Linked DNA regions of Arabidopsis thaliana. The protein of the gene in region 1 interacts with the protein of each later gene in a biochemical or structural test. Each region holds a gene or a part of one and is shown on either strand. Other genes may lie near its edges.

What was found.
Region 2: the proteins of MIPS1 (region 1) and ATXR6 form a complex in vitro, tested with the Arabidopsis thaliana proteins (one study listed by BioGRID).

The regions. Positions count from the first base shown.
Region 1 is NC_003075.7:18,462,866-18,479,741, reverse strand, and holds MIPS1 (myo-inositol-1-phosphate synthase 1), read left to right. Parts: upstream 1-7,693; 5' UTR 7,694-7,848; coding exon 7,849-8,039; intron 8,040-8,120; coding exon 8,121-8,189; intron 8,190-8,272; coding exon 8,273-8,408; intron 8,409-8,504; coding exon 8,505-8,752; intron 8,753-8,840; coding exon 8,841-9,067; intron 9,068-9,149; coding exon 9,150-9,265; intron 9,266-9,360; coding exon 9,361-9,537; intron 9,538-9,625; coding exon 9,626-9,814; intron 9,815-9,900; coding exon 9,901-10,083; 3' UTR 10,084-10,487; downstream 10,488-16,876. Other genes in the region: AT4G39830 (Cupredoxin superfamily protein), read right to left, coding at 1-109, 188-280, 346-639; AT4G39820 (Tetratricopeptide repeat (TPR)-like superfamily protein), read left to right, coding at 1,761-3,044; AT4G39810 (Polynucleotidyl transferase, ribonuclease H-like superfamily protein), read left to right, coding at 4,007-4,444, 4,526-4,572, 4,655-4,718, 4,823-4,948, 5,042-5,134; AT4G39795 (hypothetical protein (DUF581)), read right to left, coding at 12,417-12,516, 12,841-13,121; AT4G39790 (bZIP transcription factor, putative (DUF630 and DUF632)), read left to right, coding at 15,158-16,031, 16,109-16,189, 16,261-16,481, 16,557-16,780, 16,853-16,876. UniProt on the Arabidopsis thaliana protein: Key enzyme in myo-inositol biosynthesis pathway that catalyzes the conversion of glucose 6-phosphate to 1-myo-inositol 1-phosphate in a NAD-dependent manner. Catalyzes the majority of myo-inositol synthesis required for plant growth and development.
Region 2 is NC_003076.8:8,288,403-8,304,457, reverse strand, and holds ATXR6 (TRITHORAX-RELATED PROTEIN 6), read left to right. Parts: upstream 1-7,298; 5' UTR 7,299-7,460; coding exon 7,461-7,719; intron 7,720-7,940; coding exon 7,941-8,024; intron 8,025-8,093; coding exon 8,094-8,323; intron 8,324-8,468; coding exon 8,469-8,569; intron 8,570-8,683; coding exon 8,684-8,899; intron 8,900-9,053; coding exon 9,054-9,213; 3' UTR 9,214-9,348; downstream 9,349-16,055. Other genes in the region: AT5G24350 (neuroblastoma-amplified sequence protein), read right to left, coding at 202-1,168, 1,418-1,626, 1,821-2,019, 2,384-2,557, 2,707-2,758, 2,835-2,921; AT5G24340 (3'-5' exonuclease domain-containing protein), read right to left, coding at 4,610-4,906, 5,235-5,370, 5,478-5,554, 5,723-6,262, 6,348-6,479, 6,762-7,130. UniProt on the Arabidopsis thaliana protein: Histone methyltransferase that specifically monomethylates 'Lys-27' of histone H3 (H3K27me1). Has higher activity on nucleosomes containing H3.1 than H3.3. Involved in the formation of constitutive heterochromatin and the silencing of heterochromatic elements.

The DNA.
Region 1 (16,876 bases):
CGTATGTAAACGGTTCGGGCTCTGTGGCCGGAGGAGAAACTTGAATCATTCCGATTAATCCAGACTCTCTCTGCATCCCATAGTGTGAATGATACATGTATGTACCAGGCTACAAACAAATTTCAAAACTTAACATAAAAACATAAAGAAAGATTGAAACTTTAATGTGAGTTTTATAACTCTTTACCCTATCAACGACAAATTGGTAAATGAAGACTTCTCCAGGAAGAATTGGACATTGAGTAACACCTTCTACTCCATCGAACCATGGAGTCCCAATCTGAAACATATATAAATCAATCTTTTTCAGTCATTCACCGAGTGCTTACGAGGATGTTTACGTACCTGTCGGATTCCATGCCAATGGACAGCGACATTTTCAGTCATGAAGCTATTCTTGAGCTCGACAACGATGGTGTCACCTTGTTGAGCTTTAATGGTGGGACCTGGAAACTTACCATTGATTGTGATTACTAGCTTCTCGAAACAATCCGGTGACTTGAACTCGTACTTCACTTCCCATTTGAATCTCCGGATCTTTCCCTGACAGAGGACGGAAGAAAAAAACAGGGCAATGAAACAGAGGACCATAAGATTGAAGACATGGACTGTGTCTGATGATCTCTTCGGTCTCATCATTTTTCCAATCGTGTCTCCAAGAATCAAAGAAGATAAGAAGCTGAGATTTCAATATATAGTTCGAGATTAATCAATTCATATATACATAACGATAGATCATTGCATGTCATGTGTTTACAGATAACTCATTTGTCTTTTGGAGAAAAACTGGAGAGAAAACGCGTTTCACTTTTCTACGATTTAGTGATAATTTCTAATAATAATACATCGACTTTTATTAGCAAAGTAAAATTGTAGTATATGATTCTGTGTACCTCATGTGTTTTGTAAGTCATAAAAGTCAAGTATGTTCGATGCTTCTACACTGCTTTTCCTTTTTCCGTAGTAAAACCACATTATATTTTGATGTTTGATTGTAAGATTTTTAAAGCCTAAACTATTGTTAAAACAAAATACTTAATCAAATCATTAAATGAATAATAGGTTTTACGGTTTGAACTAGCTAGTTAGTCACTCATTTCATTTTTTAAAAATCTCGAATTTAAATACCTACAATAGAAAATTGAATAATTTACATGTTCATACCCCTTATCCGAAAAAAATATGGGGTTAGGTCTGAAATTCTTTAGTTAATTAAAAAGACTTACTTATTGCAGTACATTCCACATAGACTTTTAATTTGGTCAAGTCTTAGCTCAGGGTCAATGGTAAGAATCGAGAAAAAATCTCTTGGACCAAGTCAGAGCTTAATTTTTTTTGGTCGTTATATTAAATATCTACGTAAAAATCAATGATGTAACATGTAACATGGGGAAAATAATATTATCAGTATGTAACAATATTATAACATGGTATTTATTACCATTACTCCACCATTTAAGTAACTCCTTTCGTTACACGAAGAAAAGTCATAAGACAAAAAATCAACATTGATCAATCGATCCGAGACAAGTTAATTGTAATTTTGGATTTAATTATTGTTTCATTTCTAGTGAATTAAAAAATAAAATATATGAAATCCAAAGTTTGGATTCTCCTCCAATTTTAGTATTTGATCTAATTATTTTTGATCTAATTATAAAAAAATCTTAATAAACCGCCTAAAATCATAATCATATCAAATGTTTTTTTTTAATAAAAAATAATCTAAATTTTTATGCCAAAAAGAAGAATTTAGCGTAATGGTATCTATTGGAAAGACGACCCAAATCCAAAGACCAAACCAGGTTACTTCCACAATGTTCACGGAGTCATCTCCAGCAATGGATCCGGATTTACCCGAATCCGAAACCCGACCCGAATTCAATCCCTCCTCCACTGATTCCACCGCCATGGCAGAGTCAACCGATGCAGGGGAACCGACGGCATTCGAATTAGCCTCATCCCAAGTCACATCCGTCGCCGATCTACCACCGGAACGATTCAATTCGCTCGACGAATTAACACACGATCTCGGCTCGCTCCACGAGCTTTCGACCCGTGGCTCATGGCAAGCGATCCTCGAGAAGATATCTCAAGCCAGAGCTCTCTTCCTCCTCACAAAGCCTCACGAGCATCTCACTTATCTCACTTACCAAGTTATGGCTCTCGCGAAGCTTCGTCGCTCCGATGAAGCTTCTCATGAGCTTAATTCCTTGCACGATTTCGACGGGACGCATTACAGGTACGAATCGTTCCCTGAGATTTACCCTAATCGGAGAGGATCTATGGTTCCTTTCTCTTTACGATGGCTCTACGCTTTGATCCCGACTAAGCTTGGTAATCGTCAGGAAGGGTTAGATCGTTTATATGTTTTGCTTGACTTTGTTCGAGATCGAATCAGAGAGAAAGAATCTCAGAGTTTAGAGAGTTCTGTGGAATTGTGGAAGAAAAGAGAGACATTTGTGATGAATTGCTTGCTAGGGTTTCATTTAGGTCACAAGGAATTTGGGGTGTCTTTGGATTTGATGAAGGAATTGATCAATCGTGATCCGTTAGACCCGGTTTTGATTTCGAAACTAGGGTCTGTTCAGATGCAGTTTGGTGATGTAGAAGGAGCTAAAACTACGTTTGATAGAGTTGAGAAGATGTTGAATGAAGGAAAGAGCAATGGTTTATTGAACGAGATACAGTTCAACAATCTTGTTGGTAGGAATAAGGCTTTGGTTTATGTTGTGGCAAAGGACTATGTTTCTGCTGTGAGAGAGTATGACAAATGCATTGAAAGGGATAACTCTGATATTATCGCTGTCAACAATAAGGCTCTTTGTTTGATGTACTTGAGAGATCTATCGGATGCGATTAAGGTGATGGAAAGTGCATTGGAGAGAGTGCCAACCGCGGCTTTGAACGAGAGCTTGGTGGTGAATTTGTGTAGTATGTATGAGTTGGCTTATGTTAATCATACTGATGTTAAGCGGACGTTAAACAATTGGATTGCACGTGTTGCTCCTGATGACTTTGATTCATCTTGTACCAGAGTTTGAGGTATTGTCTCTGTTCTTGTTTCATTCTTGAATTTTTCCCTTTTTTAGGTTTTGGCATGTCTAAGAACTGATTGGTGATGTTATGATGACTTCGATAAATTGTGAAGTCTTAAGAATATGAAACAATCTGGTTAGGTAGATAAGAGAGATGATATTCTCTAGCGCCCTAAACTTCTTGTTCTCTGTTTTGGTTTCATATAATTTCCATTGGAGGTATGCAAATTGATCATCTAGCATTCAAAATTGCAGGTTTTCATTCCAAACAAAGGTAATTAGTCAAAGAGTTTATGTCTTCAATGATGAAACAAATCTTGGTGGGTTTGGCCTCAGCTGGAGACTCTGTTGTTGCAATTACCGGCTTCAAATTCGTTGTAGTTTTCTGTTGTGTAAGCTAGCAAATGGTTTGTTGCCCCCAAACACTTGGTAACTTCCTGCATTCGTTTTCTCATATTCATCTTCTTATAACGTTTTTTTGCATTTGCCGTTAACCACTAATGAAGAATGTGTGTTCTTGCAACTCTTCCTATGCACAGAGATTTTGGGTAAATCAAATATTTAAAGCCATGTATTTTGAGTTGAATATTCCCGTTGAGAGGATCATATAAGGATCAATAATTTGGGATATTACCAGTTTTTGAGAGAAATTTTCCCTTTCAGCTTTCAGATTCCTTGTATATCTTTATGACAATATCAAAGGAATCAATTCTCGTAGAACATGAATCTACCAACGAATTCTTTCATATAACAACCCTTTTTTATTGGTTTGGAAAAAGCAAAGTAAAGATTCTTACTTTACCCTACAGAGCAAAATTTTCTCCGCGAAGCTAAATAATCCCCACAGTAACCCTCCAACACAAATCTACGCTTAACTTTTATCACAAGAAAACGCAAACCCCAAATCCACAATATATACACATACCTACTCACAGGATTAACAAACCGAACATAAACCAAAATCTGATATGGCGGTCCAAACATTTCCCAACGAAATCGTCTTCTTCGATCTAGAAACAAACGTACCAAACAAAGCAGGGCAACATTTTCACATACTAGAGTTTGGGGCGATCATCGTATGTCCAAAAAAACTCGAGGAGCTAGAGAGCTTCACAACGCTTATACAACCTAAAGACTTGTCGGTGGTCTCAATAAGGTCGTCTAGGTCAGATGGGATCACCAGGGCTAAGGTTACGAACGCACCAAGTTTTGAAGACGTGGCTGAGAAAATCCATGGTTTGTTGAACGGTAGGATTTGGGCAGGTCATAACATTAGAAGATTTGATTGCGTTAGGATCAAAGAAGCTTTCGCTGAGATCGGTAAAGCTGCGCCTGAACCCTCAGGGATCATTGATTCTTTGGGGTTATTAAGTGACAAGTTTGGCAAAAGAGCTGGTAACATGAAGGTACCATTATCCAAGATTCTTTGTAAGCATTAGAAATCTTAGGAATTTATATATTGAAGGTCATTGTGCACTATTTTGTAGATGGCAAGTTTGGCTGCCTATTTTGGTCTTGGAGTTCAAAAGCACAGGTACCTAATCATATATGTTTGTATCTATTACTGTTACGTTTTCCTTAAGGTGAAATAACGCACATATGTCATATAATTGCAGGAGTCTCGATGATGTTCGAATGAATTTAGAGGTCCTCAAGCATTGTGCAACAGTGCTTTTCTTGGTATGTCGTATACTCATAATTCTTTTTTTTCTTTCAAGATTTTTATTTCAAATATACAAATTAACTCATTTGTATATGTGTTTATATATCACCTAAATATACAGGAATCTACACTTCCCAATCATTTGGAAGGAAAATGGCACACTTCTTCTAAGATTATGACAAGAAGTCGAAGGAATTACCAAATAGCCCAAAGGGCAATGCCTTACTCGAAGGGTAGTCTCGAGAAGGTAATTGTGTTTTTTTCCCCTCTCTTCAAATCATAAAGAATTTAAATTGCCGTTAAATTTTGTCTTTCTTTTAAATGTTTTTGTTTAATACAGATGACACAAAATGTGAAGAATCTGTTAAGCAAAGCTCAAGGCAATCAAACTCTCCAAAGCTTGATCAATCATTCTCATTCTTTGCTTAGATGATTACTGCATCCCTCCTAAATGTTAATTTTTTTATAAATAGTTTGAAGAATGAATTTAATTGTATATAATATTTATACCTTCATTGACTCTATTACCAAATAATTCAATTGATATTGTTTATATTTTGTCACTAACAACTTTTTATCTGATTTTTACCTCAAACTTTTATGAATACATCACATTGGTATTGTTTGTCATCTTTAAATATATTTTCTTTTGTCGTATTATCTACGACTTATTAATATTTCAACGTAATAGTTTTTAATATTTTTGTCGTATTTATTCATTTCTATTTAGTTTTGGATAAGCTCTTGATCTTATTTTATAATTAAATATTTCAACGTAAAAGTTTGTCCAACTTATAATCAGTTGTTTTTAATTTAATTTTGGATAAGTTTCTGATCAAATATTTAATTCTTATTCTGTTTAAATTGGAAACAGTTTATCTGTTATTAATGTGAAACGAAACAATGGATAAACTGTTCCCAATTGACAAAAATAATTGATTACTTTATTAATGTGAAACGAAACAAAGTTTGTCAAAAACAAATATGAAACGAAACAAATAAAATATATCTACGTTATTGGGAAGAAGAAAAAAAAATATCTACATAGTTGCAATTAAATTATATATTTTAATACAACTGTTATAATTAAGACAAAATATATATGTATATATATATATTTACTGCTTAATATGTTTTGTTTGTCGTATTATCTATTATTCGTTTGTGAATTTTATTTTGGATAGTAGTCTTTTCATTTACTTAAAATTAAATAATTCGAAACAAAATAGTTGGACATAATCAAGCGTACGAGAAACTTCCAGCACATCAACATCACCCTTTATACAAAATGATTTTTGAGTGAAAAAAAATGAATGTGAAACAAAGAGAAGTATGTGGCGTGGAGGAACACAGACAAAGAGTTTACAAAGGGAAACAAATTATCAATACACAAACGTACGTATGGCCACAACCATGCCTATCAAACTTTTTCAAAGCCATTCCATTTCCAAGGTGTGTCCAAAAACCATTTTTTTTTTTTTTCATCCTCCATAATTAGTTTTTGGATTCAGTTTTTGAAACTTCTTATGTCGACTAGAGCAAGAGCACTATATTTTTATGTAGTTTTTCAAAAATTAGCATTGCTGCAATGAATAGGTGATACGAGAGCCAAGATCACACGTTTAACCTTTAACTTACAAATCATCATAATTAACAACACAAAGATAAAAAGAGAATGATATAAATTCAACAGATAATAAGAGATCTTTTTTAACATGCCACACCCAAATCTGAATATAATGCAACATCTTTAAAAGAAATTGTATTACAAATCAGTTCATATTGGTCCACTAATGAAATGATTCATTGGAAGACCGATGTCTAGAATAATTTTCAAGGCATGTGCAAAAAGTTGGATTTTCTTTCCATCTAAACCTTTCAAATGACTAATCATTATTGAAATAGAAATGAAAGAATCCCGGTTACAAAAGGAAATCAAATTACATATTTTAGGCATCATATAAACTAGTGTAACTTGGAAAAGCTATAACAAATAATTTAAATTTTTAACAAATGTTTCAATTTGTGTTAAAATATTCAAATTTGAAAGTAAAATGTAACTGATATTTTCCTTATGACACATTGCTCGACCATAATCAATTAAATAATATATTCAGAATAACGTCTTTCTAAGACATGAAAAACACGTGAAACAGAGCAGTAGAAAAAGTGTGAAGATGTTTTACAGACAATGATAATCAGTGTTCTAGACTAAATCTTTTTGTTTCATATAGATTCATAGTTATCAATGTCTGGTTATGATACATTACTCAAATGTGAAATCACAAGTATGAATTAATATTATATTTAAGGTATTTTAAATTTCTTAGATATGTGTAAAAATATATTTAAAACACAAATCTTTAAAAAAAAAAAAAACATAGGTACCTTGAAATCATCGGCATTTTGACCAATTAATTAGTGCAAGTATCAATTAATAACATAAAAAATCGTAATTAAAAAAAGGTAATTCACGTGTCAAACCCAGTCAACAAGATTCCATAGGACCCACTTTTAAACGGCGACAAAAAAGTCTTTAAACGGTCGCACTTTTGTTCCAAACGACCGTTAACACCGATATTAACTATCTCACGCGCCAAACGCTACACGTGATTCCTACGGCGACCAATTGACAGCTAAACGTGGTTCGTGTTGTGCACTCTCTTTCCTTCGTAACTGACAAAACACTATCTTTTTAGTAACTGTAACGGAACAAAAGGTCCCATGTTGACGAAACACTGTCGTTTTCCACCAAATTAACGGAACTAACTAACGTTCCCCACAAAAATGTGGGACCCATGAAACAAAAAAACCAAACCAGACTTTGCTATCATCATAACAAAGCGACGCCACGTGTATGGACCAGATATCTGACGTGTCAATTACTATTTTTAATTTTCCGCTCCTCCCTCACGTGTGAGACCCCACACGTGTGGCTCACTATGAACCAGAAGCATCACTAGCTCACATGCATTGGACAAATAGGGACCATCAACCAGTGAAGTGACGCCACGGTGTCTCTATCTCCCTTGCTGTCTCGTCTATATAAACTTGCACGTCTCCGCTGATTAGAAGCACAAAACTCACACCCCAAAACCGATCCAAATTCCGAGAAAGACAACCAAATTTTCCTTTTCCTCTGCAAAAATGTTTATTGAGAGCTTCAAAGTTGAGAGCCCGAACGTGAAGTACACAGAGAATGAGATTCACTCTGTGTACGATTACGAGACGACGGAGGTTGTTCATGAGAAGACCGTCAATGGCACTTACCAATGGATTGTGAAGCCAAAGACTGTCAAATACGATTTCAAAACCGATATTCGTGTCCCCAAATTAGGGTAAAAACCACTCTTTTCCAAAGTTTCATAATTCCTCGATTTCTCCGTCGTTGATGAATCAATTTTGATTTTGTCGTAAAGGGTTATGCTTGTGGGTTTGGGAGGAAACAATGGATCAACTCTCACCGCTGGTGTGATTGCGAACAAAGAGTGAGTCTTTTTGATCAAGTCCTTGATATTAAAATTTGATAATTTTGTCTTTTTGTAATCGGAAAATTGGATAAATAAAACAGAGGAATCTCGTGGGCAACGAAGGACAAAGTGCAACAAGCGAATTACTTCGGGTCACTAACTCAAGCTTCATCGATTCGTGTCGGATCTTTTAACGGTGAAGAGATCTATGCTCCTTTCAAGAGTCTCCTTCCAATGGTTGGTGATTAGCTAGCTTTTAAACAAATTTTTGAGACAGGTTTTCTTCTTAAAGTGTGTTTTAATTTTGGGATCGTTGTGTGGAAATAAAAACAGGTGAATCCGGATGATGTTGTGTTTGGAGGATGGGATATAAGTGACATGAACTTAGCAGATGCCATGGCTAGAGCCAGGGTTCTTGATATCGACTTGCAGAAACAGCTCAGGCCTTACATGGAGAACATTGTGCCACTCCCTGGGATCTTCGATCCTGATTTCATAGCTGCTAATCAAGGGTCACGTGCTAACCACGTGATCAAAGGTACCAAGAAGGAACAAGTCGACCACATCATCAAGGACATGAGGTTACTCTCTGTTCTAGTGATTATTCTTATTGGTTGAATCGAATCTCGTCTGATTATTGATGTGATCGAGTGTGATGTTGAATCTTAGGGAGTTTAAGGAGAAGAATAAGGTGGATAAGGTTGTGGTTCTCTGGACGGCTAACACAGAGCGTTATAGCAATGTGGTCGTTGGGATGAACGATACAATGGAGAATCTCATGGAGTCTGTGGATAGGGATGAGGCTGAGATCTCTCCTTCAACACTTTATGCGATTGCTTGTGTTCTTGAGGGAATCCCGTTCATCAATGGAAGCCCTCAAAACACCTTTGTTCCAGGTTTCATGTAGTTGAGTTTTAATCACTCATTGATCAATCAATATTGGAAATCATGACTGATTTTCTTGGGGGTTTGTTGTAGGTCTAATTGATATGGCGATCAGGAACAATGTTTTGATCGGTGGAGATGATTTCAAGAGTGGTCAAACCAAGATGAAATCTGTCTTGGTTGATTTCCTAGTTGGCGCAGGAATCAAGGTTTGTTTAACTTGCGTATCAAGTTACTCTTTCTTGTTACTGAAAATATTTGTCACAAGACTTTGGTTTCATTGATTGTGTGTTTTTGTTTATAGCCTACTTCAATTGTGAGCTACAATCACTTGGGAAACAACGATGGAATGAATCTCTCAGCTCCACAGACTTTCAGATCTAAGGAGATCTCCAAAAGCAATGTCGTGGACGATATGGTTGCTAGCAATGGTATCCTCTTTGAGCCTGGGGAACACCCGGACCATGTTGTTGTCATCAAGGTAAATAGAGAACCGGACAGACACTCAAAACCTGTTTCTGTTGGCAATCTGAGATCCCATTGATCCAATTTGTGTGTTTGTTTTGTAGTATGTACCGTATGTTGCGGATAGTAAGCGAGCCATGGACGAGTACACATCAGAGATATTCATGGGAGGGAAGAACACAATTGTGATGCACAATACCTGCGAGGACTCTCTCTTAGCTGCTCCAATCATCTTGGATCTTGTTCTCCTCGCGGAGCTCAGCACCAGGATCCAGTTCAAATCCGAGGGAGAGGTTCGTCAGTTCACAGTACATGTTATTTTGGGTTCTCTGTTTTCACTGAACCGCGGTTTTGATGTTTTGAAACATCTTTTTGGCAGGGAAAGTTTCACTCTTTCCATCCTGTGGCCACCATACTCAGCTACCTCACCAAGGCACCACTTGTACCGCCGGGAACTCCGGTGATTAACGCACTGTCGAAGCAGCGGGCTATGCTGGAGAATATTATGAGGGCGTGCGTTGGACTGGCTCCGGAGAACAACATGATCATGGAATTCAAGTGAACATGAAGAAGCATGAATCTAAGACCTTTAATTAGCTCATAATTTAAGAGTCTTTAATTTGTGTCGTTGTTTGGTTTTTATATAATGTTTTTAAATTATGAAAGCTTGTGTTTCTGAGAGACCAAAGAGCTTTTAGTTTGGTCTCTGTAGGGTGTGAAGTAACTTGTATTTGTAGTAATCCGGATGGGTTGGTATATTTTGCAAGTGTGTCTAGGTTGGACCATAATTTCAATATCTCTTATGATTTTGTTTCATATGTTTGTAAAACAGCTTATCTTTTGAGATATATAATCATGGTTTTGGTTCAGCAATTGATCTACAAGTGTATGGACAGCTTTTGTCACCAAATTTGCTCATACCACAATTAGTTAGACGTTGTGGTGTAAATTGTTGTAGGTTTTGACTGAAAACTTGCTCATTCAAATTTTTGATTTGTGTTCCCTGCTATTTTTTTATCACAGTTGAGAAATTTCAATCTAGTTTAGTAGAAGATGGCAAGCAAAAAAATTATAACGTAATGGTCGTTTTCATAACAATTCTATTTTAAATATAATATAATTTGGAGGAATAAATAAAATGTGTATGGACCGATTCTTCATTCAAAAACCATCGAAAAGAAGTTTAAAATATTACCATGGCATCATCAATGACCTCAAATGAGTTTATTCATAAAAATATGAGATTGATGGTCCAAATAATTCAAATTAATTATATATGTGGGAGGATTAATTTAATTAAAGATACCAAATGAATCTGCTTATTTCCCTTGAATTATATATTTATTGATAATTAAGTAATCAATAATTAGTAGTGAAGACAAAATATGATGACTCCGGAAACTCCAACAACTAAGCCTCGAAGTTTGGAGTTCAGAAAACGAGTGAAGAAAAAAACAAATTATATATAAATAATCCATAGACTAATTATAAACCTAATCCTATCTATAAGCTACTGATAACTATCCATTTCCATAAACCATTAATATACAAATCTTCAATTATTGAGCAACGAGACATATGTACTTTAATTTAAGTATCGTTATAGAAGCATTTTTGTGTTCTTAAAAATTGTATTAAAATTTTATAATCAAAATAAATTTTTAATGTAGTAAATAAAAATAATTTTATAAAAATACTTAATTTGTAAAACCATAACGGTCCATGCATATAGTTTTTATTAAAAAAAAAATCGTGTGAAAAATGTCAAAACACATTTATACTGAAGCAAAAAACTGATGTGATTTCAAATGATAGAGAACAAGAGTTCATACTTTCCAAGTACTAATAGATAGCGTTTAGAAATTGTTAGTTCAGATGAGTGTTACCATGGACAAATTCTTATACACTAAAACAAAATTATGATGGAAGAAAGATGGATAAAACATATCTAATCCGAAAAACAAAGAAAGAAATGTAACATCTATAAACTTTTAACCTTTTCACAGCATGTAGAAAACTATTTTACAGCATGTATACGTCTTTTACAAGACTAAAGCTTTAAATATATGTATAAATGAAATATTTCAAAAAAAAAAAAATCGTAATAAGTATCAACTTTGATACGACAGGTTAAAACCATACACACACCATTTCAGTATGTATGAATATTTTCTTATTACATCTTTTTGATTAGTAAAATAACAAATGGTTATTAGGTCATCACTAAGCTTTGATCGGTATGACGAGTGTTCGCATTAATTTACTCTACACCTCTTCATCCCATTACTAATCGCCGGACGCTTTCGTCGTCACGAGACAGTGACCTCCATTTTTAAATCCTTCATTTAACGCTTTTTTCTAAATTTCCACCAATGATTTTCTGGCCAAAAATATTATATCTGTTACTATTCATGTACTACTAGTTATAAGATTATGCAAAATGATGTGACTTTAAATCAAAATAAATACTTTTATTAATTATTATCTTAATTACCGTGAGTTGCATATGGTGTTGGGATCTATTTGCTAACAAAGTCATACTATTAAAACGAGATTCATGGTGTGCTTACTTCAACCTTCACTAGCTCTTAAAGTAACGTATCACGTATGCATAAATTACTCGTTCTTTAACTTCTTTTAGCTAAATGTTTTAATATTACAAAAAAAAAAGTTGTAATTAAAAAGCATATCTTCAAACTAAATAAACCCAGTTTATAAAAGAGACAAGGAAGTGTGAAACTAAAATAATAGGCAGGACATGAAAGATAGATTCATTTCATTTTTTTCTGAGGATTAATTTTACATGATGACACTAATTAATGATTAACAACAACAATCTCTAGTTAAAACACACACAAACTTAAGAGTAATAGTAAATTTGAGCCATGCGTATTTTTATTTTGAAGGTGATAGTACGACGCGGTTTCTTGTTTTCCCCTCGTCGTGCTCCATTTGCTGTTCTCTGCATTCTATGCTACAAAACGCTGCGTCCCCTCTACAATTTATTCACGTTACAAAGAAATATATCAATACTACTTTGTGATACATTAGAAAACGAGGAATAAATCATTGAATCCCTACCATTGGAAAGATATGGTGTTAAAAATAAATTTCATAACTTGGTTGTAGCTTAGTTCCCTTGATTATATTTATAAAAAAAAAACGCTTTCAATTTTGAATGTATTATATAAAACAAATAACTTGTTCAAATTTAAAAAGAAAAATTATTTTAAACTATTATAAATTGAGATCTTAAAACTGAAGACTTGTAAAAATGAAAAATAATTAAGAAAAGAGTAGTTAGTATATGTAAACATACTTGTACATGTAAATATCACGACCCGGAGCAAGACCGCGTTTGCAAAAGCCACAGTTTACAAGAAAAGACGACGGTGAGGATCTCCCACCGTATTTTCTCTCGTTCCTCTGGTGATTTACCGGCGACAAGAACCGCTGGGCGTAATTTTCTCCGCCGTCAACCACCGTCATAGACACGTCAGAGTCTTGGCCGGCGGTCTGATCACCATCAACTTCGATAGTGATCCTCGTTATGCTTGCTGTTCTCTGCATTTGAGGCCGTGGTCGATTCCCTAACAACATATTATTGTTTCTATAAAGAAAAAGAAAAACTTTTTTATTTTTCTCTATAAAATTTAGATTGTTGCTTGGAGAGGGGAATTGTGTGTTACGATGCCAATCAGTTTAAATATAGACGCAATCATATGGTGTATTGATTATTTAATTCGTGCCTACGTATTTACTTGTAATGCTTAAATTTTATATGATATGATTAAAGATACAATTATTATTCGTCAGGTCTTTATAGGTAGGCCAATAATTTCAGATATTTGGTCTGTGGACACCAAACATCCCTCCGTAGCTATATTTTATTTTCGACGAGAAGTGATTTATTAATTTTTTTAAATATGGATTTTACCATTTCTATTCATTTTATAAAATGATATCTCCTAGATATGGTACAAGGAGTAAGGAATTTTTTATATATGATCTTCAAAAGAATGCCTAAACCTTTGTATTTGAGTGTTCATATGATTCAATTCATAAAAATCATGTAGAGCAACATTTCCCAAAAATAATAGTGTCGACATTATAATGAAAAAGTAACATACTGGGGGGTGTGGGTGGGTCTTTAAGAGGCATTCGTACGAAAAGTCAAGGCTTGCAAGATTGCTTCAATTACTAAAAATGTATCGTAGGGATTATAACAGTATCGTACTCATTAAGTGTCCTTTAGACCTTTACTGTTACTGCCACTATTTTCAGTTATAGTAGTACTTGGTAGAACTTTGAGACAGTTATTGTCATGGTAGGATTTGGGCCTAGGAAAAGGGAATAGTGTCATTCACTGTTTCAAAGTTTTAAACTTTTGATAGACACTATTATACTATATTACTCTCCATACCATCTTACAATATGCAACAGCCCATATCTCACTTTTAAGAAATGTTAACCTCCATTCTTTCTTGTCCCTTGTCACATTCTAAATGAAAGTTATAAAGTCGAGATATTTTAATTTTAATATGTAGAGAGGCTAAATAAAGCCCACGTTTCAAGGAGTCGTTAGAGAGACCCTCGAAACTAAACAAGAGTGATTTGCTCAAACCCAAAGACAATTACACGATTCTCCATACAAAAGAGTTCCCTCCCTTAGGTGGCCCAATTACGTTAAAGTAGCTTAACCTAAACTTAAACCGAATTATTTTTAATAAGCGTTTCTTTTTGCCGTAGACTTTTTTTAATTTTTTTGAACCTAAATTATAAAATTTTGAATCCAATCTTTAGTAGAGATGACTATGGAAGATTTAATAATGTAAATCGAAAATCACAAAACTAAATAAAAGCAGGAATATATACGTTAAGCTTTTGACTTGGTTTTCCCTCCCTCTCTTTCCCCAGCTCAATCGGTCCATTCACAACCATAACCGAAAAAAAAAGAGTAACTAGGTTTCACATAACTCTCGTAGAATCGTACTGTAATCCAATTACCGAAGTTAATAAATGAGAAGAAAACAAAAATATTCAAAGTGTGTAGCTTTCATGTTCATATTCAATAAAGAGTAAAGACCATAACTACAGATTTTGTAGCATCTAGAGAGAGAGAATCTGAAATTGTTGCTGCTAGGATTTTCTCACTGCTTTAACTTTTTATTTTCTAGCTCAGCTTTTGAAGTAAATGATCTGTTTTGGAATGAACTAAAATCTCTGCACTTTTTTTTCCTTTACTAATGTTTTATCTTCTTCTCGTAAAACGATGCAACCAAGACAAAACTTCTCCACACCCTCTCTCTCTCTCTCTCTCTCTCAGACCATTTTGTTCAAGATTTGTCTGATCAAAGCTCCTTTTTCAGGTTTCTCTCATTGAATAAGTATTTTGGATTCTTCCTTATATATAAATTCCCCAACTACTCTCCTTTCCGCATGGTGATAGCTACTTCTCACTCTGTTCTTCTTAATTCTCACAAACGCCATTAAAGGAAAACAAAACAAAACCCCAAAGACTTGTCATTTTCTTTTTTTTCGAAATGAGTTCTTTAGTTTGTTCTGTTTTGTAACCACCGTGAGAGATTTCAGGGTAGAACAAATCCAAAGTTTCGATTTTTATTAAGTTTTTCTCAATGGGTCATTCGATATTGGAGAAAATGGGATGTTCAAACTCGAAAGCATCGATGAATAAGAAGAACGAGCCGCTTCATCTATGCAAAGAAAGGAAGAGATTTGTCAAACAAGCTATGGATTCCAGATGTGCTTTAGCCGCTGCACACGTGTCTTACATCCGTTCACTCCGTAACATCGGAGCTTGTCTTCGTCAATACGCGGAGGCGGAGACTGCTCATGAATCATCTCCGTCGTTAACCGCCACTGAGCCTGAGAAATCTCCTTCTCATAACTCCTCTTACCCTGACGATTCGGTTGACTCGCCACTGAGTCATAACTCGAATCCAAACCCTAACCCTAAACCCCTTTTCAATCTAAGTTACATGAAGACGGAGACGGCTAGTTCTACTGTGACTTTCACTATTAACCCTCTGAGCGACGGTGATGACGATCTGGAAGTGACAATGCCGGCGTTTTCTCCTCCTCCTCCGCCGCGTCCTCGCCGGCCAGAGACGTCTTCTTGGGACTATTTCGACACTTGTGACGATTTTGATAGCTTTAGATTTGTAGGGCTAAGTGAACAAACCGAGATTGATAGTGAATGTGATGCAGCAGTTATAGGATTAGAGAAGATTACTAGTCAAGGGAATGTAGCAAAATCTGGTTCAGAGACATTGCAAGACTCGAGTTTTAAAACAAAGCAGAGGAAACAGAGTTGTGAAGATAATGATGAAAGAGAAGATCCATCGGAGTTTATCACACATAGAGCCAAAGACTTTGTGTCGAGTATGAAAGATATAGAACATAAGTTCTTTAGAGCTTCTGAATCTGGAAGAGAAGTTTCAAGAATGCTTGAAGTTAACAAAATCAGAGTCGGATTCGCCGATATGACAGGTATGAGTTCTGTTTTCATTGTGTAAATGGCTGTTGAAACCTGTTGTTGATTCGTGAGTGTTTGTTTTGTTAACCAGGAAAGGGAAATTCAATAGCGTTTCTTGCAGCTTTGAAGCGAGCTTGTTGTAGAGGGAAAAGTTATTCACCAGTTTCTCAAGGTAAAGATTTATCATTTACCTGTGTCTTTGCTATTTTTGGTTTTAGTGTTCTGAGTTAAACTTTAATGTAGAGCCATTGAGTCATCAAGTTACTAAAGTCATTGTGTGGAAGAGAACATCGTCGTCAAGATCCTCCACTTCTAGAAATCCGTTGATCCAGACATCAAAAGAAGATCACGATGATGAAAGTGGAAGTGATTTCATCGAAGAGTTTTGTATGATCTCAGGAAGTCACTCTTCTTCGCTTGATCGGTTATACGCTTGGGAGAGAAAACTCTATGATGAAGTCAAGGTAAAAAAATCATGACTCTATGGCTGTGTTGGTGTTGTGCTTCCTCACATCTCATTTGTTTTTCTTTTTATGCAGGCGAGTGAGATGATTAGGAAAGAGTATGATCGAAAATGCGAGCAGCTAAGGAACCAATTCGCAAAGGATCACAGTGCTAAATCGATGGATAAAACAAGAGCAGCTGCTAAAGATCTTCATTCAAGAATCAGAGTCGCGATTCAATCTGTTGAATCGATTTCAAAGCGGATTGAGAGAATCAGAGACGATGAGCTCCACCCACAGCTCTTAGAGTTTCTTCAAGGGTATATAGTAACCAAATGTCTTATTAACTTTTGGATATAGACTCGTTGGTTGATCCTTACTTTTCTCTTTAGGTTGATAAGAATGTGGAAAGCGAT
Region 2 (16,055 bases), on another chromosome or scaffold:
TCTAAGTTTTCAAGTTGCAATCAAACCCACAAAACCACTTTAAACTCTAGAATCGACAAATTCTAACCAAATTCTAAATGACACTCATCCTGTGTTAGATAACCATAGAATCTCCTGGATATGCAAGACTAGTACTATATGGCATACCAGGTTTCCTATCTGCAGAAAGGAAGAGAAGATAGCAAGAGTAAAGATATATACCTGCCCATGCTTATCCCCAAATAGGTGTCAAGCCTTTCACTAAACTGTAATAGACGAAGCCTAGCCAAACGAAATTCCCAAAGTTGTTGGGATTCTTGATCTTCAGATTTAGCAAATACATAGTGATTGGTTAGATAAAGTCCATGCGCAAGTAAGGCCTTCATGGAATCTTCTGTTGGCCCAATTCTATCTAAGCATTCGGAGAGCACAAAAGCTTTATCTTTTATCTTTGATAGAATCGTGCTCACATCACTGACTCCTTTTTCTGACTTCAACCATCTTGACTTGAAAACTTCATCTCTGTCCAAGCCATGACTATCAGAGAAATCTAACGCTTCTTGATATTGGCATTTCTCAACTAAGATTTTATACATTTCAGGAATTGTTTTCTCAGTAAATGATATTAGCCTCCATAACATACTATGCTCACTAGTATGATGAAATTCACTTGCGTCCCTGTCAACATTGGCCAGAGCTGATTTTGCTTCCTGTGTTGAACTTTCTAAAAGAAAAATGTGTCCTTCATATTTCTGAACTCTTTCCACGACAGGCATAGAATAAATGGTAGCATCCTCTTGAACTATAACACACCTACTGATGTCAAATATACTAATGTTACCGCTCCTTTTCAAAATTGCAAGGGCGTGATCAGACCACCAAGTAAAATCTACGACATTTCTTAAACTTTCTTTCCAACTTTGTAGCGACTTATCTGGCTTCAGTGAATCAGAACTGTCTTCAGAAGGACAGCACGAAAGTGTCAATCTTGCTTTATCTAACTGGAAAATATGCACGCACCCATTGCTATCAAGACTTGCAACATGTGACCCTTGAGGGGAGATTAAAGTCTTTGGATATGCCAACTGATCATCTTTGTTCTCACAATACACGCCATCAAACTTTGTGGTGGACAACAATTCCAGACCTAAATTCTGACACTTACGCCAAAGCGAGATACACGATGAACCTGAAAGTAAGTAAATTAAAACATTAATTATCGCAGAATCATGAACCTAACATCTCTGTTCATCGGAAATATTTCAACAACCACATTTTTCATTCAACTATCACAAACACTGATAAAGTATAGGTAGCATTCTCATATAATAGTACGCAGCTATGGTTTGCCAAATTGAATGATTTCAAGCAAGTGTAGCTTTTTAATTACTCCTAATTCCAAACTTTCCTCAACTAAAATAAGTTGTATAAAACTTACCAGAACTCCCTGACGATGATATGCCTGCAACACTACCAACAATGAGAAGAAAAGAAAGATCTGGATGGTAATCAAAGCAGAAAACGTGGTTGGGGAATTGCTTTGAGACACTATTTGAAGCATGCTTGGAAAAGGCAGAAGCACTTGGCTCCCTACTGATCTCGACATGATGAATACGTCCATCTGACGTAAGTATACTGAACGAACACCTGCAGGCAAATTATCATTAGCACAGACCACCAGTCAAAATTTCATATCAGCCGTAGACCTTAAGCAAACAAGTATACTGTAATGGTCAAGGACACATTAGGATCCCAGAGTACTCCTTTAGTCTGTTTTTTTTTTTGAACAAAGTACTCTGTAAGTCTTAATCAATAAGAAATATGAACAGAAGGAAACGTACAAGCATGATGGTTGCAAATCAGAGTCGTCCTCCATTAATCCTAATACTGGTGCAGAAACCTTCAAGTTTCTTTTTGTGACCTGACTTATTTCTTCGCCATTAGCTCTGATGAAAAAGAGGGTCTCACTATCATCCACAAGACCAAGAACATCATGTTTTTCGGACCATACTCCAGAAGTAAATGAACCTGATATGCTGGCTGATGCAGAATACAGAAGTTAGAGGACCATAGCATAGACATCAAAGGACCATAAGTTAAGAAACAGAAAGAAGGAAAACGGTATTGTGAGGAGAGCATATTTTTTTAATGAACAGAATAAATGACTGGTACAGTCTAAGGTTTCACAAAACGGTGATTCCACATACTAAACTTAGAGAGAAAAAGAAGCAAATGCAAGTTTTATAGGCGTTTGTTATCAGAGTAAATCAAGTAGATAGTTTTTGACAAGATAAATGCAATATTCTACAAATTCGTTTATTGAGTGTGCTATGGCAATGACCCCGAAAAACATAATCAGGCAAACATTTGTGAAAGCAAGGGAAGATATGCCAGAATTTCTTACATGTAAAATTGCCACAAGGTTTCCTGTAATCATCATCCTTTCGCAAGATAGTAACGTGATTTCCAGAAGTGACAGCCACAAGTTCTCCTCTTGGTGAAATAAATAACGACACCGGCTTATTAGTTTTTTTCGGATTCCAGTATTCACTCCACTTTTCCTTGAGTTGACTAACACCTTAATACCATAAGAGCACAGAGATGAAGAACCAATGAGCTATACTGCTAATTTAATGAAAAGAGATGTACACAAACATGATTCCTACAAGCTCATAAAACCAAAGATTCAAAAATCACAGATCTCTGAGTTAACCATCTGCGACTGACCTTTGATGGAAACAAGTGACCGAAGTCCTCCTTTCGAATTAGTTCCATCTGCCTAAACTTGGACAGCGGATCAAAGCGTAAGATATAAGTAAAACACTAAATTGTATAAGCAATGATGAATCTTGTACCTGAGGAAGAGGAGGATATCTAGGAACATAAGGCAATGAAGCATGATGACGTATCTCATACAAAACTTTTCTTCCAGGACTTTCCATGATCAATCGAGATCGATCCTCACAGCAGTTTCTAGGAGAAGGAGATCTAATTAGCAGGAGAGAGAGAGAGAGAGAATCAATATAATTTTCTTCACACCCTAACCCCAAAACATCAGCACTCTCGTCGATTTAACCATAAAGTTTGAATTAAACCCTTGACTAATTACTTAATGAATTAGTGCATGGAGATGAATTGGAAGGTGTGAGACAAGATTTGATGACATACCTAAGCACGATTTGGTAATTACGCTCAGAGAGATCGGCGGCGAATTGAGAAGAGAGAACGCAGAAATTAATGGTGTGGCGAAGATCCGGCGGTACGACCTCCTATGGTGGTGACTGTAGAGACTGTGATGAACAAATTTCACGAGGAAGGAGACGAAGACACTATACGACCGGTGAATGTGAACTTCGCCGACGAGCAGAGAAAGTGATGACGACTCCGTAAAAAAAGTTATACATACCTTCTGAAATCAATCGGTTCGGTTCAATTTAGCCAAGAACCGTCCGGTTCAACCATGAAATTAATGTTCTCTTGTCTTATTTTCTTTATACGGCAGATAGGCAATCCAACCGGTCGGTCCAAATTTAAGAGACAACACCCTATGAAACTATTAATTCCGATGTGAATGTGCCCGTCGAATATCTGACTCACCGGATTTTCTAATAAGTCTAAAACATATTTGAAGTGAGCAAAGAAGAGTGAACTAAATACTTATTTGATCTACATAGTTTCGTGTTGGGGCAATTGATCTCTTGTTTAGGTCTACAAGACAACTCTTCCTCAAGTAGGAACACTGATGCTCAAGAAACGCTTTCCAATTATACCGGTTAATTCATCTGTCGCAAAGATATCATTTTCGAGTTCATCACCGTATTTGCTAGTGAAAGAAAAAAAATGGTTGAACAAGAATTCAATGGAGAAAATTAGGAAGAGAGGTAATGTTGATTTGATGAGGTTAAATTTTTTGCCTAACTAATGAACTAGACCAATCCAATCCACAATACCTAAATTTGGTATATCATCATATTTAAAATGCATGAATCTACGGCTAGAAAAGCCATCATCTCAAGAAAGCATATTGAAAATAATATTCCACTTTGAAAATTATGCAAGAATTTAACTGGTAAATAGAAAATACTACAAGTCTATTCTTCTCATAAGATAGTAATGTGTTCAACTTTGTAAAACAAACTAAAACATTTGTACACGGTTAATAACCTCTGGAACACATGTGTGCAAACGACACAAGTTACAAACACATCTTGTTTGCTTAGAGACGTTTGATATAAAATAAAAACATTTGAGGAACTGAGGTAACGAGAGATTGAACACTTCACCAAAATTGTAAAAACCCAAAAAAAAAAAAAAAAAGTGAATCACTCACTCAACTTGCATACTTCCATGAACTTCTGGACTGCGTTATGATACTGAGTTCCCTGAAACCACATAACAAACATTAAATATGTCGGACACTGACTATTAGAGACAGAACAGATCAGAGCTATATAGGAAGTTATGAATCTTGTGGAGATGATTTCTGCTCTAAGACATGAACACATGAAGATGTTTTAAAGAAATCAAGATTCAATTCACCAACTAAGACTTCATACAAATATTAATTGGATCACTGATTTGATAAATATCGTTAGGCAACTAAAATTTGACTGTTCAATCAGCAAAACAACTAACATAGATGGACCAGATGATTTTTTGACACAAGGTATACTCGTTCAAGAACTATAATGCACAACGGCAAAAGATGGGGTAGGTGACTTACCTCCCAGTATAGTTGATGGCAGTTCATGCACTGCCAAAACTCTAAATTTTTGTTAAATAAGCAGTTGGGTATTCTTTGGAAACCCTTTGCTGCTTCAATAGCTTCTTCAATGCTTAGAGGTTTCTGAATAAATTTCCCATTGCACTTCGTACATCTGGACATCAGCTGATTTCCGCTGATCTTTAGCTGGAAAGTCTCTATCACCTGCGAAGCTTATTTGTTTCAGTAATTCACAAAAAATCCGTAATCATTCTACTGAATGTAAGAAAAGTGGTTGCACAGTGAGTGGACGAGGTTATTTTGGCTCGGTGAATCCAAGCATGCCATAATTACAGGTAGTGTAGAAAATGTTCCACCCAGAAAGTAAGGTTAAAAATAAATTTGTTAACTAGTGTCTTGAGAGATCCTATTCTTTAAAGCAAAATTTCCAGGGTATGTGTCCTTTTTGATTAATAAATCTAGTAAACCAAATCATGCCACATCACAGATCTTGCATAACAGCTTATACGTTGAAAATTAACTTTGTTTGTACCTCAAGTAGCTGCTCATTTTTAAGAAGACTCTTTACTCGATATATTTGATGCTTTGCCAAATCCTGGTGTCTCAACAATTTTGTATCTCTTGTTAATAGAACTCTGTTCTCTTTGAATGCTTGATCAAGCAACTCCCTGGCATTTGTGTCAACATCACAATTAGAAAATCAATCCTATACAGATATTGTGATCAAAACCCCATGTCACAGAAAAACTTTAATAGCAGCTTTAGGATAAAGTACCTTGAATCCGGCTTCTTTGAGTGTGGGATTGCAGCATCAATCCCCACACAACGTAGATGTTTCGCCAAACCTTCAACCTATAAAGTAGTTTTACAAGAAACTGATTATGATACCACATGGATTCTACTGAAAATGGTTAGATTCAAAAACAAAGATACTAAATAGGTGAAATCAAATTCTTGTCCTCTAATTAAATAAAACCAAGAAACAAAAGAGCAACAGAAAACAGAAATTGATTCAAATACCATCACATCCAATAGAAATTTAGGGCAGCCATCACCGCCTAAAGATGAGTCCCATGGCGGTGGACCTTGCCAGTCCGCAGAACAGACCAACTGCTTATTTGTGTTCATAGTGCTTGAGGCGACACGTCTTCTTGTTTTCTTCTTAAGTTTCTTTGGTAGAAGATCAGACTCCTTCAACAGGATCCGTTCTCCAAACTTCCTGACAATCTTCAACAAATTCTCATCCATTGGCATCGTGTTTAGTGTCGTTTTTCTTGGAACCACTCCATTGGCTATGTTTTGACCATTTTCCGACATTGATCTGATTACATCTGTAGCCTTGCAAAGTTTGACTGTGACAATCTTACTGCTATAGTCCGATTCAGTCAGAATTTCTTGTAAGCCAACATTTATCACTCTAAGATCTTGCACTGTGATTCCTTCAACAAGATGCGCCTCAAATACATCGAATATCTGGAGCAGGCAGTGAGCATCTGTGGCAGCGTATAGTTTCTGTTCTTCTGTAAGAGGACGATATGACCAATCACTACATTGAAGTTCCTAAAGAATAAAAACCTGTTAAGAAAAGCCTTATTAACAGTACGTTTCACGAAAAGTCAAATTCTTGCAGGAATCATTGACAAACCTTTGAGAGAGAGATGTCCAGCATTTCCTTACATATAGCAGCCAAGCTCTTGATATCCTTTGGCGCCTTTCTCCCAAACCGCTTATGTTGCAGATAATTGTATATGCTTGTAATATCCAAGTATTGTTTCACCTATTCACATCAACAATCACAAACATAGAGTTTTAAAGCAACATAACCTAAAAAGGCAAATAAAAGAAAAACACAATTCAACAATCTACTTTCAACAGAAGTCAATAAACACACAAATCAATACTTACCTATCTATAAACACCACACGTGATCCAAACACAAGAACTTTAAGTACAAGAGAATATAACAGAGCTAAAGGTTAAAACTTTGATAAGAATTCGACTACAATTAGCTTAAACTAACACTACGAAGCAAAGTTCAAGACTTTCAAAAGCAAATCACCTCTTGGAATCCACCTTCACATCCATGTTGAGTAAATGTCGAAGACAAGTAAACCAAATCCTGTTTAAACCGAAACCCTAGTTTCAGAACATCCGGCGACACGAACATATCATTCAACAGCTCCCAAACCGATGGAAGATGAATCGAACTCAAATCAATGAGGAAGACATCGGAGACATCCGTGGCGTGACTGAGTCGGCATGCGACTTGGAGGAGAGTGACGGTCGGAAACGACGACGTATTGGAGTGTTGTGGCTTCCATTCGGCGTCTAAGGCGATGATCGTAGAACGAGTGAAAGACCATTTCAGGTGAGTGAACTCGGACGAGTCGGTGGATGAAACTAGATAGATCTTTAGATTGGTCTCCATCGTTCAAAGAGCAAAATCAATTTAGTTGAAAGTTACATTGAAGGAGAGTCTTATGTCGGTTTTGGTTTGTCCGGTGGGATAATCAAATTGAACCGAACCGAACAACCAAAATATATGAACCGATCTAATCCTAATTTCTCAAAATCGGTTAGATAAAACCAAAATAAACCAGTCTGCAAATCGGGAAACCGTAACAGTGGCGCCAAATTAAAATTCCCCGGGAAAATCCGGTGAATCCAGAGCGCGAACTCTTCTACTCAACCTCGGCTAGATCTCACATTTATAATCTCTCACTCTCTCTCTTTCTCTGGTAAATCAATAAGTGTAAGAATGGTGGCTGTGAGGCGAAGGAGAACACAAGCGTCAAACCCTAGATCCGAACCACCGCAACACATGTCGGATCATGATTCCGATTCCGATTGGGATACAGTCTGCGAAGAATGCAGTTCCGGTAAACAACCAGCAAAGCTGCTTCTTTGCGACAAATGCGATAAAGGGTTTCATCTTTTCTGTCTCAGACCGATCCTCGTTTCAGTTCCCAAAGGCTCTTGGTTCTGCCCTTCTTGTTCCAAACATCAGATCCCTAAATGTAAGCTTTTTCACTATACCCACATGACTCTAATTTCAAAGCTTCCTTCTTTTGATTAGGATATGTTTATTGTTGAGCTTTAGATTTTAGGATTCTTCTGGGTTTCTTGATCTCTGTCTTTGATTTGATTTTGCGAATTTGATTCAGATTTAACACTACTAGATCAGGTTTTGGATTACACTGTTGCTGAATTACTAATGAAAAGTTTTGTAAATCTGCAGCTTTCCCTCTTATTCAGACTAAAATTATAGATTTCTTCCGGATTAAGCGGTCTCCAGATTCATCTCAAATCTCAAGTTCTTCAGGTATGTAATTTTGCAGATTAGAAATCTAAATCCCTAGAAATATTAATCTGAATAGTGAAATGTTTGCAGATAGTATTGGGAAGAAACGGAAAAAGACTAGCTTGGTGATGTCAAAGAAGAAGAGAAGGCTTCTTCCATACAATCCTAGCAATGATCCTCAAAGGAGGCTAGAGCAAATGGCGTCTCTGGCCACTGCGTTGAGAGCTTCCAACACCAAGTTCAGCAATGAGCTTACTTATGTATCTGGAAAGGCTCCAAGATCTGCAAACCAAGCTGCTTTTGAGAAAGGAGGCATGCAGGTATCTATCTTAAGTTGATATGTATTGCTCTTGTTCTTCAGTCACATCTATATGATTGGTTTGGTGATTCTTAGGTTTCTTGAAAGCATTCATTGTTGGGTTAAGTATCAACAGAAAAGTTGATTTTGTATTTAATTTCATACAGGTTCTATCTAAAGAAGGCGTAGAGACCTTAGCCTTGTGCAAGAAAATGATGGACCTCGGTGAATGCCCGCCACTTATGGTCGTCTTCGATCCTTATGAAGGGTACTTAACATTCTTATTAGCTTCTCTTTTGACCTTTATAACCAAGAAGAGAGTAGGAAAATGCATTTATCAATGTATAATTATATTGAAGTCTAATTTTTTCTATCTGAACAGGTTCACAGTAGAGGCGGACAGGTTTATAAAAGACTGGACAATTATCACAGAGTATGTTGGAGATGTTGATTATCTGAGCAATAGAGAAGATGACTATGATGGAGACAGTATGATGACTCTACTTCATGCCTCTGATCCTTCGCAATGTCTCGTAATTTGCCCTGACAGACGCAGTAACATCGCCCGGTTCATCAGTGGCATCAACAATCACTCACCGTGAGTTTCTCTTCTCTTCTATTTGGTTCCTTAAAGTCGACTCTCTGGTCACAACACCTGAGCTCCATGTTTTGGTCCTGCTTCTGAATTAGTTGGAACCATTCTAGTATTGCTTGTCCTCATTGTGTATTTGTTGACATTTTGTGAATTGCAGAGAAGGGAGGAAGAAGCAGAACCTGAAGTGTGTGAGGTTCAACATCAACGGAGAAGCTAGGGTTCTTCTCGTAGCTAATAGAGACATATCGAAAGGGGAAAGATTGTATTATGATTACAACGGATATGAACATGAGTATCCAACTGAACATTTTGTATAACCCTGTGAATTTCGTAAGAAAGGTCAACCTATTAAAAAGGTTGCTTGTTCATCAAGAAACAACCTAAAAGTGTTTTTTGTCCTTCCTAATGCTTTAACTGGGCTTTTAGACCATGAACCAAAGCCTTACTTCAAGTTGGATCAAAATGTGAAGCCTTGTCGGAATAATTGATGTTCTATTTGTAAAAAATACACTAGAAATGGGAATTGAATTGAAGAAAATAAAGATTGTTGGTAAGGAAAAGAGAGAGTAGGAATAATGAATGAAATAGAATGGTCCAAAGAGCCTAAAGACTAAAGGAGTCTGACAGTACCTTCAAGCGACTATGAGAGTTTGCATCAAAAAAACCATTCCTTTGTGATTCCTTCAGATCACTGTGGGACATAAACTTCCTTTTGGATCCCACACTTACCATTTTTCATCTTTTTTTGCATTCTCCAACAAATTTATTCAATTTTAATGCATCGTACATACCTAAGAGACAATTTGATAAATATCTCGACATTGATTTATTGAACATTTTATCTTTCATCTTTTAGCTCTCCATCAGGATATTATAAATTTGGCTACGGGAGCGGACATATCATATTAAAATTGATTACTAAGTATCAATTTGACGTAGGAAGCATAGATAAACCTTGGATCTCTTAACATACGCCTCAAAACAAGTTAATATAGGACCAAACTTTGGTCAGTAGCATTATGATCTTAAACTGTCAGGATGGACCTTAGATACTATAGAATCTCAATAAAATTATTTCAAAAATGACTTTCTTATTTAGTTCATTTAGTGATTAAATATATAGATGGATTCGGGTAATCTCACGGGTTTTAAACTCATTTTAACATATATAAACATAGTACTAGCCCCCAACGATATATAGTCGAAACACATATCTATCCACCAAACTCTTTTTGATAGGTCGATCAATATCAATGATTTGTCTACACTCTACACCAAACAACTGATAGTACATATAGTCGTAAATCATATAACCATTTCGAATCTAACTTACAAGGTTGGTGTCTTTCATATGTTATTTGTTTTGGTGAGATTCAATTAAGTTCCACAGAAATTGGTAATGATTAGTAGGGGGTACTGTTGATTATACGTAAAAGAAAGGGTGTAATTTCTAATTACTTAAGAGTTTGGTGCCTTTAGCAGTAACAATAGAAGATGTGAGAAAGATGGAAAAAGAAAAACCATACAAAGGACACCATCACAAAATTTACAAATCCTAATTTTATACAAAATAAAACATACTCAATACTAATTCTTTTTGCTTAACATCAAACGGATTACTTTGTTTCTTTTGGAAAAGTTTAGTTTCTTCTCAATGCAATTAAAATTATTTATGTTTATAATTTTATGGAGCCCATAGAAAAGGAGAAAGAAAAAGGGTAAATAGTTGAAGGCTTATTATCATTAATCAAGTAAGTAAATAATAATATCTAAAAGGCTTGTTCCTGAATTTTACTGGATAAATCGTTATCACGTGATTTACGCCACTCTTTCTCTAATCTACGTGATGTCATGAGTAACTAAATACTATCATTTCATTGTGTTTTTTCTTGTTTACTAATTGTGATTTAGTTTCTTTGGCTAATTTCAATTTCTTTTCGGTTAGTAGAGCATTTGTCTTTCAATCTTTTCTGACTTTTGGCCTTTTCTTTTCACAGAAATTTATTTACATTGAAATACGTATACTTTACATTATGGAACCTATATTTTGTTTTAAAATAAGTATCATTTTATATTTTTAATGCAATTTTGATGTAAAAAAAGTTACAGTTTTTATCTCCACTAATTTAATGCATTAATTAATTATTAAAATTATGTTGATGGAAGAAAAATAGAAAATTTATCTATTTTAAAAATGTGTGCCAAAATCTTAAACAACACTTATTTATAAATGGATAGAGTTTTTTTTTTTACGTCAAAACAATTATATTAATCAATTAGGGTCATTACAAAAATATCGATCAAGCCAAATAGGTAAAAAACCAGAACCAGAATAAAAAGAAGAATAGGTACAACCATATTTCGCTAAGACATGAGCTAATTTGTTTCCCTTTCTCCTAATAAAACCAAACTGAATGCTTGCAAATTTATTTGACCAAAAACGAATGTCCTCCAGGTGATTTGCTAAGGAACTGTGAGACGAAGTCCCATTAATTAAGTTAATTAGCGTCTGACAATCGCCTTCTATAAGTACTTGTGTGTATCCTCGAATCCAGGTTTGTTGTAAAGCCGCCAAAAGAGCTTTGGTTTCTGCCTCAAGCGGATTATTCGTGTGAGCCAACTTTATTGAACCCCATGAGATTGGTGTCCCGTAATGATTTCTGATGATCCAACCTCCTGTAGCTTCCAACTTCTGTAAATCGAAACCAACATCAAAATTACACTTTACATATGTGACTGGTGGATTTCTCCATAAATGGATAGAGTATTAGATACTACTGGCCACTAAATTATATTTGATTTTTAGTAATAATAAGAATTTTGTTTTGTTGTATTTTCTTTTTAATTAGAATATTAATTGCAATAATTTTCTTTCTATATCTAAAATTTGGTCACTAATTATCCTTCATCTTTATAATTTTTCCTACATCTTCTTTTTGTTTGCATCGAACAAATCGAATATTTTGTTCTTTATGATTACTATACAATTGTATACCACAGAAGCGAAGCCAAACGGCCAACTTTAATTTTGGTTTCAAATCGTAAAGTAAATTAAAGCAAAGTATAAATAGAATTTTGTCGTTAAGGACTTAGGTTATCAGACTAACCAACTATTACCGACATCATTATTTTCTCTTGTTCCCTTAACAAAAAGCCAAATATCATTATCACATTGAAAACAATATATATCCGTGCAAATTTGATTATTAAATAATCAATGTCGGGCTGTCTTTTAATTAGGGTTATAATAGCTAATCAGTGTCTCCCCTCTTTGTCCCTACGTTAGGGTTTCTAATTGGGATCATAATCATTTCTTTCTCTTTAGAAAAGAAAAAGTTATGCTACATACGACATCACTTTTCTAAAATGACTTAGTGATCCAAAGTATTGGACAAAAACTTTTAACCTGATGAGCATAAACACATAAAAAAAAAAAAAAATCAATGTCCTAATATTGGACAAACGACTAAATCGAGTAATCCACATTATTGTTTTTGTCAATAATCCTTCTTAAAAGTTTAAATCTCCTAATACATTTTTCTTGTTTAGTAATGTATTTGTCTCTTTATGTTACTTAGTTAGAGACTTATATATTTTTCAAAATCATTTTGTTGGCATTTTGAAGAGTGGTATACATATAATAGTTTGATTTCGTACCAATAATTTAACGAATTAGTCATTTAACTAAGTAACTAATTACGAATAACACGACAAACATATGAAACAACAAGTTTAACTCCATCAAGTCACGTTACTCCAAATAGTTGGGATTGAGTTAAGGACTGAATCTTTGTCGAGTCAATTGTTGAAAAAATAGAGAGAACCAGTTATGTGAAAATATCCAAAGTTCAAGTTTCTCAGGCTCATACCACAAAGGGTGAATTATCATCAATATGCTTTTATTTCAGTGAGACATGTAAAATGGTTAACATATTACTCAATAACTTTATCCTTTTTACTGTTTTTATGAAATTTCATTTTGCTTTTAACTTACTCTCCTTTTGATTCTTTGTGTGTAATTGTCGTTGATTAAGGTTAAATGATGACAATAATGTTGGCACGGGTGAGATCAGGTCCCATTTGGTTACCGACGTTTACTATTTCTCTACTTTTAATTTAATCTTTAAACCCGTTTGATCAAAGAGACTTATTTGAATTGATCTTTGAAACAAATCGCCAACGTTGGTTTAGTAATCATATTTCAAAAAGCATTATAATTGTGTTTGAAATGTAGACATAATAGTTTAATGGATTTCTGCCAAATTGATAGGAAGTTTACTTAGAATAATTTAATAAAATTTGACACAATTGACAGTGGTTTTGACTTTTAAGACTAGAAACAAAAATCTGAGTTAGCCAGATGATTTTCATAGGGAACCACTTTTCATAAAGTATCGGAACATTACTATGATGGGGTCTCTACTATGATTCCATAAATTTAATTTTAATTTGCTTTTTTCCCCCACTAATTAGAGCATAAATGTAACAGCTGACTTTCTGTTATTTTAAAACATTTAATTATACATAACGGTAGGTACCATAGTTAACAAACTTCAGAATTGTTTTTTACTAACCTTTCTATATACTTTTACTATAGATGACTAAAAAATAAGTGATTCTATTATTCTGTCAATATATACAAACTTTTTTTTTTAATATTAGAAATTTAAGTATAAAATGTATATTTAAATTTAAATCTGTATATTATTGAGTTAGTAACAAGAAACTGGACAAAAATAATATTATTTAAATCACATTTGTTTAGGAAGTCTGTCAATTGGGTCTTAACCCAATTGGTTTATGTGATAGTTAGAAATGCAAACTAAGAACAGACAATGTGGTGGTCCTTTAAGAAGAAGTCCACTATAAAGTATATCGGTATGTTTCTATCGAGATTTACCGAATCAATCGACAAAATTTATATATAAAAAATGATATTGTTGCTAACGATCCACTCTCATTTTGTGGCCTAGGAGTCTATTTTTGTTATCGTAATTACCCGAAAAAAATACTAAAGAAACTTCTTAGAAAATAGAAATGAAATTCTGGAGGAGTTGTGTCGGGCTCCAATATATGGAGACAAAAACTAATTTTACTAATATAGTAATATGGACAAAATTTGTGAGCTCATCTTGCATCAAATTAATAATTATATTGGTTATGTTTCGCTCCAAATTCTCATATTTGTCTCTTACCTAATCTGTAAAACACACACACGTAACGCGTAAATAATTAATATCTAAAAATAATCAGTTCAAGTAGTGATATTCAAAGACTTTAGACCAGTAATTATAGTAAGAAAATTTGATTGGTCTTTAAGCTTTCTTTATAAAAATAGCTTATAAAATATACAATTTGCAGACTTATATATATATATATATATATATATTATATAACCATTTAATTTTAAAATCAATAAATTTTAAAACAAATCATCCCACAGTATATTGTGGATTAAAATTTAGTATACAATAAATTGTCTACATAGTAACAAAGCTTATATGTATCTAATTCTAGTAAGCACTTTTGATTAGATTCTTCTTTTGATTAGTTGTTTTTTGTTTTTTGTTTTGTATAAGCTTGGAAAAAACGCATTATAGATAAATCGTATATGCAAGCTTGAAGTACCTAACCCACCATGATTTCATTTTCCTATGAACTTTTCTTATTTGATTTTGGTTTTCAATTATTTAACCATATATGCTATATGCTTGACCGTTCTCAAATTCTCACTAACGTTAACCAATATATTTTTTCTAAACCTAAAAGATGGCTAAATAAAACTTTGGCATCATAAAAATGTCAACTATGAGCATATCTCTCTATTTGAGAGTTTGCTTAATCCAATCTTAAGCTTATAGCTCATGTAAGATGTTACTATCATTTGACAAGTTTGTGCAACATTTGATGAGTATTTTTTTTTTTTGTTTTTTAATATACTTCACATAAATGAATACATTCAGTTGATAATCAGAAAAAGGTTACTAGAATCATTTTAAAGATTACTCTTCTAACTGCCGCACATTTACTTTTGTAATTTGGAAACAACACTAATCATCTGTCTACTACCGCTAGATAAGCAAGTATTTTCTTGTTTCCCCAAATGGTTTGTATCCTTAGACATAAATGGTCTTTTTGAGAGTTTACTAACATGTGGGCAGTTTTTTGGGATTTCTTGAAAAGTGATTGCAAAATGAAATCATCCATGTGACATGTGAGCAATGAAGATGAGAAAGAGAGTTGGTTAGAGATTAATTATTTATCAATTCTCTTTGTGGAGCTTGCTAACGTATTGAATAAAGCCTAATACTGTATACAAACCAAACTGTAGAAATGGACTTTGTAATTGTGGTTAGTCAAAGTTCTCTTTTACTATACTTCTTTGAAATTTATGCAGTGTCTCTTTATCTCTATACATAGATATATTGATTATAACGAAAAATTTAAATTCTATAAATCAAACAATCATTTTTCTATTTATTATGATGCGTAAGTTGATTTGGTCACCAAAATCATGTTTTGAGTTATTTTATAGCATATTAGAATGACAGATCTTAGGTAAGAGCATGTATTACAAATTTAAATTAATTTGACCTATCTAACACCTCTGAAAGTCAATTTTATAAGCAAAATATTCTATTGTTCTTTATCGAATGTTAAGCAAACATTCTACAAAACTCTTACAAAATCAGTTTGATAGTAGAGCGAGTAATCATCTAATAATCAATAATAAAAACTCAAAAAAATACTATGACACATCTTAAAATTTATTTTACTAATAGCAATTCAAGCTGTTTAAATAATTATATTGGTTTAACGAATTTAAACAAATTTAATAGTATAACATTCTAGTGTTAATCTAAGGAAGTACTTGCATAACCATAATTCTTTTCTCTTTAAATTAATATTCAGAAGATGTGAATTATGGTGTTTTTTATTAGGATACAAATAAACAAACTCATTATAGTATTTGATAATTCAACAGTCTCTCTCTCGTGTGCTAGATTTGTTGTTTCTTGTTTGACTAGATTAGTAATACAATACCTTTAAATATAGTATTCTTATAATACATTCCACATTTCCGTCTATATATTATATGCTTTTATTGGGAAAAATAATAAAACAAAAAAGTAGAGTTGAAATAAAATATAATTAAAAT